2 linked regions of the Arabidopsis thaliana genome follow. The protein of the gene in region 2 interacts with the protein of the main gene of each other region in a pairwise test. Each region holds a gene or a part of one and is shown on either strand. Other genes may lie near its edges. The genes, in order: NF-YC10 and NF-YB7.

Region 1 (4,651 bases), on a different chromosome or scaffold from region 2:
GAGATTGAGAGATCCTAAAGATGATGGAAGCGGAGATGGGAGATCGGAGGTCGAAAATTTTGAAAATTAAGAGGCCGAATTTTGCATAAAGAAGGGGAAAAGTAAAAAATGGTCTTATTATTATTTGTTATTTTATTCCTTTGATTGATTAAGAAAAAGTTGAGCGAATTATTATTAACTAAATCGCCATTTTCACAGATTTGTGTGTCTAATAAAAGTAGACTTATGATTTTTTCGTAGTCGTTGTCTGATGATCATGATTCATGACGATGGTGGTGGTGGTGGTGATAGTAACATACATCATCTTTATGGATACAATTGAATGATCGTGAGATATTGTAACAGAGAGGGGGATACTTGCGTCACCAGCAGCAGGTGACTTGTGAATTTGTTGTGATAAAGATCACATTAATTTAAATAAAATCAGCTGTTCAATTTGCGGAATAAATAGTTGGCGAAAATTGTGCTTATAAATTTTACAACGGGATGATGAAGTACAATAAGCAAATCAATTTTGTGGATAAAGAAATGCATATGATTGTCTTAAGTTTGATTTAATGGTGTAGAATAAAAACATATAAAGACAAAAGTTGGTTGAAGTGTCAAACAGAGTGAACTCCGTAAACAGCCTCTTTTTCTTCACACCTTAAGAAACCATAGACGAAAAAAAGTTTACATATTTTTAGAAAATTTTCGATCTTTAAAAAATTTATGAGGAGATTTGTTAACCTTACATAATACTTGACAAGAGAATGATGAAATTTTTTTAGACAAAAAAAAACACGTTGAAAAGTCTCATATATGATGTCACTGATTTTTAGATCAAAATGTTGACACCCCAATTTGATCGGGAAGCAAGAAAACCCGGAGAACAGATATAAAATTAAATTGTTCTATTCTACACAAAACCTTGGGCATTTGTTAAATTTTAACTATTTACGGTTTATTTTAACCATCTCCACTGAGAATTTATCGTTACGTTTATGGAAATGACTACACACATCTTCGTTTTTCTAATCATTTATAGGTGTGTACTTGTTTTTCCTTCAAATTTTCATTGTTTCACTTGAAAAGTGCACTCTGAAAAATAGAAAGTACACTGAAAATTCATTGTTGTTTTCACTTAAAAAGTGCATACTGGACAACAAAAAACCTCAACAAACAAACGATCAAACAAGAGAGTGAGAGACCTAAAGATATTTTTTTCCACTAGCGCTTCAACAAAGAAAAAAGAAGAGAAGCTTTCATTTAAACGTGGTACGTTGAAGTATACATGATGATGTAATAAAGTACTACAATGACTCAACAACGCCAGCTCTTGGAATGGATATTAGTGGGAGAAGAAGATCCAACAACTTTATCAACCAGCTTCCTCAATCCCTTCTTCTTCTTCGGGGTCTTCTTTTCCTTATCCGTCTTATCTTCTCTCTTCCTCTCTTCTTCAACTTCTTCCTCAAACTGTGAACACAGCTTAAGCACTTGCTCCTCTACATTATTAAGTCTCTCTAGCAAAGTTCCTTTCCGCTCAGTCTCCTCCCTGACTTGTTCCATCGAACGGCAGTGTACCTTCCCTATGCTCCTCGGTGACGACAGATCCATTGACGATGGCTGAGTCCCACTAGATGGAGTCGATGGGCTCGAGCTTCTAGGCGAGCTTCCTTTCATCTCCTCTAACTTCCTCACCATGAAATCAATACGATCCAATCTTGAAAGTATCGGTTCTTCTACAACAGCCATTATTGATAACAAACGACAACGTTTCCAGAAGCTTTGGTTGTGTCGGAATAGTTGAAAGACAGTATCGAAAGCAAAACTCGTCTTCTCTTATTAATAGAGTAATAATTGGAGATTGAAAGAACACGAGCTAGGCCACGTTTAAATATTGCAGAGAGAGTTCATGGAGACTCACACGTGTTGTTGATAACACGTGGTGGTTCCAGCTTGCGGACACCTCTTCTGTCTCATACTCCAACATTACCCATTCTTCCTTATCTAATCCCTAAAATTTCTTTACATTATGTCGGGAACAAGATAATGTATTTTGGATGCTTGTATAAAAACATTATCTTATCCCAAGTACATTTACCCTAATTTATTTATTTCTCCATAAACTATACAATGTTTTACGAGGTGTATGCGAAACAGTGAAAGCATGTCCAATAATTTATTTTGAAGTAGTCGTCATGCATCTTCATTCCTCAACATCACCATGTCCATTCCTTAAATTGATCATATGATAAATGGGCCTAAAAGGCTCAAACAAATAAGCCCATGTAAATATCCATCGATTTATTCAGGCGAAAGGGTGAAACATACTGTAGTTCTAAAAAATTAATGGTGTCGTCAAAGAAACCCAAGGAGAAGAAGGCGAGGAGCGATGTCGTCGTCAATAAAGCGAGTGGTCGGAGTAAACGCAGCTCCGGTTCCAGAACGAAGAAGACGTCGAACAAGGTTAACATTGTGAAGAAGAAGCCGGAGATTTACGAGATCTCAGAATCATCGAGCAGTGACTCTGTGGAAGAAGCAATAAGAGGCGATGAGGCGAAGAAAAGTAACGGCGTCGTGAGCAAGAGGGGTAACGGAAAGAGTGTAGGAATTCCGACGAAGACGAGTAAAAATCGAGAAGAGGACGATGGAGGCGCGGAAGATGCTAAGATCAAGTTTCCGATGAATCGGATTCGGCGGATCATGAGAAGCGATAATTCTGCTCCTCAGATTATGCAGGATGCTGTATTTCTTGTCAACAAAGCCACGGTATAGTACTAATTAGACATATAAATTTAGCTTGAGGAACTTAATTTCACATGGTTTTTGATGAATTTGGGAGTATCAATTGCTAGTCAGTGTTAATTGGGCGTTATAATCTCGCAAATTGCTACAGTAATGAGATTGTTTCTGTTAATTAAGCCGGGAATTAACGTTATTGCTTCATCTCCATGTGTGTTTGATGAAACCGTAGTTACTGTGCTTGATTGTCATAGGTTTAGCTTTTACATCCAGAACTTGTAGACACCTAACACATGAGAAAGTCCTTATATATGATTTAGGTTCATATTTTCAAAGCTTAAGTGATGAGTGTTTAATTTTCCTGTATTGGAACTTGGCATTGTTTTTTCTTTCTTTTGATTTCATCTTGTGTTCATCGAAATTGATGTTCATTGCGTTTACAGTACATTAACTGGTTTTTGTGATTGAAGGAGATGTTCATTGAGCGGTTTTCTGAAGAAGCTTATGATAGTTCCGTCAAGGACAAAAAGAAATTCATCCACTACAAACACCTCTGTAAGCTCTAATCTCGTCCCTATTTGCCAATATCTGGTTACCTCAATACTGAATCCCATGTCGAAAATCTCATGCTGCTGCACCAATTGCTGAACTTAGGATTTCTGGCTTCTGCACAAGGGCCAGTAGTTAGTCTTAGGAAGAGTTTAGATAATGAGTTAATCCGTTCGTATCACTTGCAAGATTTGTTGCACTCCTAACATAATTGATGACACTGTCATTTCTACTCGTTGGCAGCATCCGTAGTGAGTAACGACCAGAGATACGAGTTCCTTGCAGGTACTTAATAACCTCTGAAGTATTCGTTTTATGAGTTCCATGTGGTTTACGAACAGCATTTTAATACCTGTAATATCTTGAATGCAGATAGTGTTCCCGAGAAACTTAAAGCAGAGGCCGCGTTGGAGGAATGGGAAAGAGGCATGACAGATGCAGGCTGAAATAAATCCGGTTGGAATCGAACTGAACCATTTGGATTCAAATTTGTGTCCCTGTCCTGGTTTATACTTCATAGGTTCCATCCGCCCGATCTTCACCTTTCTTATTAACCACTACTGAGATTGCACATATTTGATTTCTAGAATGTATACATTTTTTTTCTTGTTTCAAGTTAAAATTTGTAAGAGTTGTCGGAATTCTAATATCTTTCTTTAGTATCTATATATACATTTTTGCAGCCATTTTGTGAAATAAATTTTGTAGTTGGACTTATTTACAATGGCTGCCACTGGATTTTGATGTTTGTATTTGATAATTAGAAAGAAAATCTTCGAATTAAATATTTGACATTTAACAATCTTTCCAAAATCTCTCCACATTAACTAAACAGAGACAAAATTACAAAATATTTAGACAATGATTCATAAACATATCATAAATAAGATCAACATTAATAAAATAAATGGTTTTTTTTACTGGACGGGTTTGACAGGACGTTACTTAATAATAATTGTAAACTATAAAATAAAAATATTTTATAGTTAGATACAATTTGTAAACTTTTATATATACTAACATTAAAAAATAAATTGTTTCCGCGGTGTACCGCTGAGTTAAAATCTAGTTATAATTATAGGACAATTGGTCAGAAAATATTTAGAAAATATTTTTACCATAATTATTCTTACTAATCAAATTATAATATTAGTAAAACAAGCCAATTATCAAAAAAAGGTTTTTAAAATCATTCTTCTAGACCAATTTGAAAAAACTTTCCACATTTTCTTTTCTTTTTACACATTTTATAATTCTGTTATAAAATAAATAATCCAAAATAAGAGTTTGGGGGTAAAACTAAAAATTCAAATAATATGATGGGTATGAATAAAAATTAGGGTGGGTCCACCAGAAGCAGCGACTGAGAGCAGCT
Region 2 (3,555 bases):
CTTGCTTTAATATAATCATAAATGATAGAAAAAGAAAAGATGTCAAAACAACATCCCATCTTTCACGTGTTTTGGACTCCTGATCATAAAATCGTATTCTACGAAGAATGTCGATCGGGTTTGATTATATGTAAAGAACAGAAGAGTGTTTACCTGATTTCTCACTTAGAGAAAATAAAGACTAAACCAGAAACTAAGCCTAAATGTTAGTTATGTTGACGCGGTCTTGTGTATTCCGCAGGAGGGGCTGATGGAGTATGTGGAAAACAACATGTGGAATCCAGAGTACCCGACTTTGGTCTACAAGGATGACTAAGTTTGGTTCCCAAAATGAATAAGTCTACTTTCTCTTATTTATATGTAAAAATTTATAATTGGGGTTGCTTTATACCCAATCAAATTCATAGCTACTGCTTTCTCTTGTTCTTATGTAAAAAAAAAAAAAATATATAATTGGGTTGTTTGTTATCCAATCAGATTCATAGCTTCCACTTTCTCTTATTTATATGTAAAAAAGAAGTTATATTCAATCAGATTCATAGCAGCAACATTTTACATACATCGTATTAGAAATGCATTTACTTTTATAACTTATAGTTTCAGGTCAAGATACTAAGAGTAGTGAGTGAGGAACAATTTGAAGTTCTTTAATTCAAGCAATCATCTTTATCAATCATAACATGAGTAAATGAATGAGAAACAATACACCATTCTCTTCCAATTAAGCTATTCTCTACTGGAAACCTTATAAGCTAGACCACTAACTCTCAAACCGTAGGTGGTAAGTATTCTAATCCAATTAGCAGCATGGAATTAGTTTCTACTGTTGTAAATCATGAGAGATTGCTATATTTGCTCGAGACGAACTAATCCGGAAAATATATGAAGACGAATTTCTGTTACACAAAACCATGGGTATACTGAAAATATCAAAATGTACGTGTCTAGTGTCTATATAGCAACAAATATATATAAGCATCAAGATGTACTCACAAAAGGTAAAGAAAAGCATATAATATGTGAAAAGAAAGAAGAAAAAAAGCAAATGTCTCTCTCACCAGTGAATTGAATCAATGTTATTATCATGCTGCTGCGGGAACTGTTTCTGCAATGATTTAGGAGAGAAAGCAATATTGGGAAAAGGTTGATGATCCACTGGTAGGAATGGAGAAGGATGATGATGAGAGATGTAACTAGTACATGACATGTTGTTATTGTTTTGGTCTTGTTCTTGAAACTGATAATTATGATGATTCTGTTGTTGAATCTGCTGTTGTTGTTGTCTTTGTTGTTGTTGTTTTGGGCTGTTAACTTTCTCTCCTTCGGTGTCTCTATATTTGCAGAGGTAGACCTTTAATGGAGCCACGTAGTCTTCGAAACCGAGAGTTGTGATAGCCCAAATGATATCATCTCCATTGATGGTCTTCCTCTTTTCTCTTTGACACTTGTCAGAAGCTTCACCAGTGACGAAACTAATGAACTCCGAGACACATTCTTGAACGGTTTCTTTAGCGTCTTTTGAGATCTTACCGTTACCGGGAAGAACTTTTTTCATGATCCTTCCGACATTCGCAATGGGAAGAAACCGGTCTTGTTCTTTGTTGTTGTTGTTGTTGTTGTTGGTCTTTGAAGAAGGGCTTCCTGGATTTGTTTCAGCTACTCCAGGAGACCCATGATCTTCTTCTGGGCTCTCCTCAGTCATATCTCTATCTCTTTGTTTTTTTTTGTGATTGATGTTAACCACATGTGATCAATCTGATTTTATGGTTAAGCTTAGTGCATGAAACTAGGCAACTTTTCTATTTATGGATACCTTGCCAACCAAATTTGGAACTCCATGCGACTCGCTCCTTTTTTTTTTTTTTTTTTTTTTTCTTTGTTATTTGCCAGATAATAAAGAAAAGTGTAAGAAAATAGCAATCATGTAACATATTGTCATCAAATAGTGTTTTCAATTTATTATTTTCCGTAGTATGTTTATTTAGTATGTAGACAACTATAAATTATCATGTCTCCATAATGCTTTGATTTATTGTATTATAGTAATTTCCTAAACTCTAGCCTGGTAAATATATATGGTGGTTATTTATCCGAGAATATTACACGTAAAGGCACTATTTTGAAACTTTGGCCACAAATAGGCACTTTAAAAGCATTAGTCACTTTAACTCAGTAGAATTACCCCTTTACCCTGAAATCGTTAGTTTAACAAAACCTAACAAATTTAGCCGGTTTTCGGTTTAATTTTTTAATCTCAATCTCTAAACTAAAACCAATTTGTGAGAAACCTCTTTTTCTCACCCAATCCTTCACGACGATTTTACAGTTTCATTTATCTGGGCAGTTAAAATCATCACAACGACGATAACATCATCTCGACTCCGGCGATCATCCCAACGAGTTTTCTACCGGCAAAGTCATTTCCTCGTCCCTCTCCCGTCGTTATCGTCAACAAAGCTTTCAATCGGCCGACATTAATTCGTCCTCTCCCGTCGTCGTCGTCAACACTTGTTCTCCCGTCATGGTCTTCATTTTCTTGTCTCTCAATCGATTCGTCGTCTCCGGCGTGTGCTAGTAACTTCTACTCGGTCCTCAAATGCAAGGTATTAATCTTCTCCAATCATTTTATTTGCTCTAATTATTCAACCGTGTGCTAATTTTATTTATAATATCCAACATTGTGAAGAGCTAATAGGTGAAGACATGAATGCTACGTTAGGTGATATTTCAAAAATGTTAATCACAAGACCTTATCTTCTTACCACAGACTTCGGCTTGCTTATCTCCTCATTGTTGACGGTGTCCTCGTATCCTCAAACCAACCTATTACGTCTACATTAAAATATGTAGAGATGTTGGCAGATTTGGAGAAGTTCCTTAACTGACTGAGGTCTACGTAACTGACTGTCTATACACATGTGGATAAATGGTCAAAGAAACATGGATAATATACTTTGGATTGACGTTTATTGTTCATGTATAAACTTATGTATTAGTATGAAACTATCATGTGAGTCTTTAGATGATCATGGACTGGACTGCTTGGACAATCATTAATGGACAAATATGTCTTTGATTTGCTGCGAATATGTTTATAGCTCGATAAAATTGTATCAACATGTCTATATACATGTGGATAAATGGTCAAAGAAACATGGATAATGTACTTTGGATTGATGTTTATTTGTAAATCTTAATATAAATGTCATCCAGTCATAGTGAATTATCCAATCAGACAAACGAATTAATACAGTTATGTTGTGGATGGATTCATATGGATACATTAACAATTATCTTTATCTTTCAACATGAAAAGCGTTTGATATGGATACATTAACCATATCGATAATCTTATCTCTATATTGCTGTTGAATGTTTTAGTGGTTTGTATCATATTATTTGTTTGTTCCATCCATAACAACATTTTTTCAAGTGCATCTAACATTTGATATCAGTTAACAATGCGAAGAAAAATAAATAATTTTGTGTATTTTGAACTATTGTTTATTTGGTAAATCATTCTAGCTAATTATGTTTACAAATACGTTAAAACTT

The links.
Region 1: the proteins of NF-YB7 (region 2) and NF-YC10 interact in a two-hybrid assay, tested with the Arabidopsis thaliana proteins (2 studies listed by BioGRID).

Annotation. Positions count from the first base shown.
Region 1 is NC_003070.9:2,472,594-2,477,244, reverse strand, and holds NF-YC10 (nuclear factor Y, subunit C10), read left to right. Parts: upstream 1-2,116; 5' UTR 2,117-2,334; coding exon 2,335-2,754; intron 2,755-3,197; coding exon 3,198-3,282; coding exon of another isoform or gene 3,283-3,293; exon of another isoform or gene 3,294-3,519; coding exon 3,520-3,561; intron 3,562-3,648; coding exon 3,649-3,722; 3' UTR 3,723-4,080; downstream 4,081-4,651. Other genes in the region: AT1G07985 (uncharacterized protein), read right to left, coding at 1,303-1,737.
Region 2 is NC_003071.7:5,654,788-5,658,342, forward strand, and holds NF-YB7 (nuclear factor Y, subunit B7), read right to left. Parts: upstream 1,732-3,555; 5' UTR 1,703-1,731; coding exon 1,055-1,702; 3' UTR 604-1,054; downstream 1-603. Other genes in the region: NAD-ME1 (NAD-dependent malic enzyme 1), read left to right, coding at 242-316.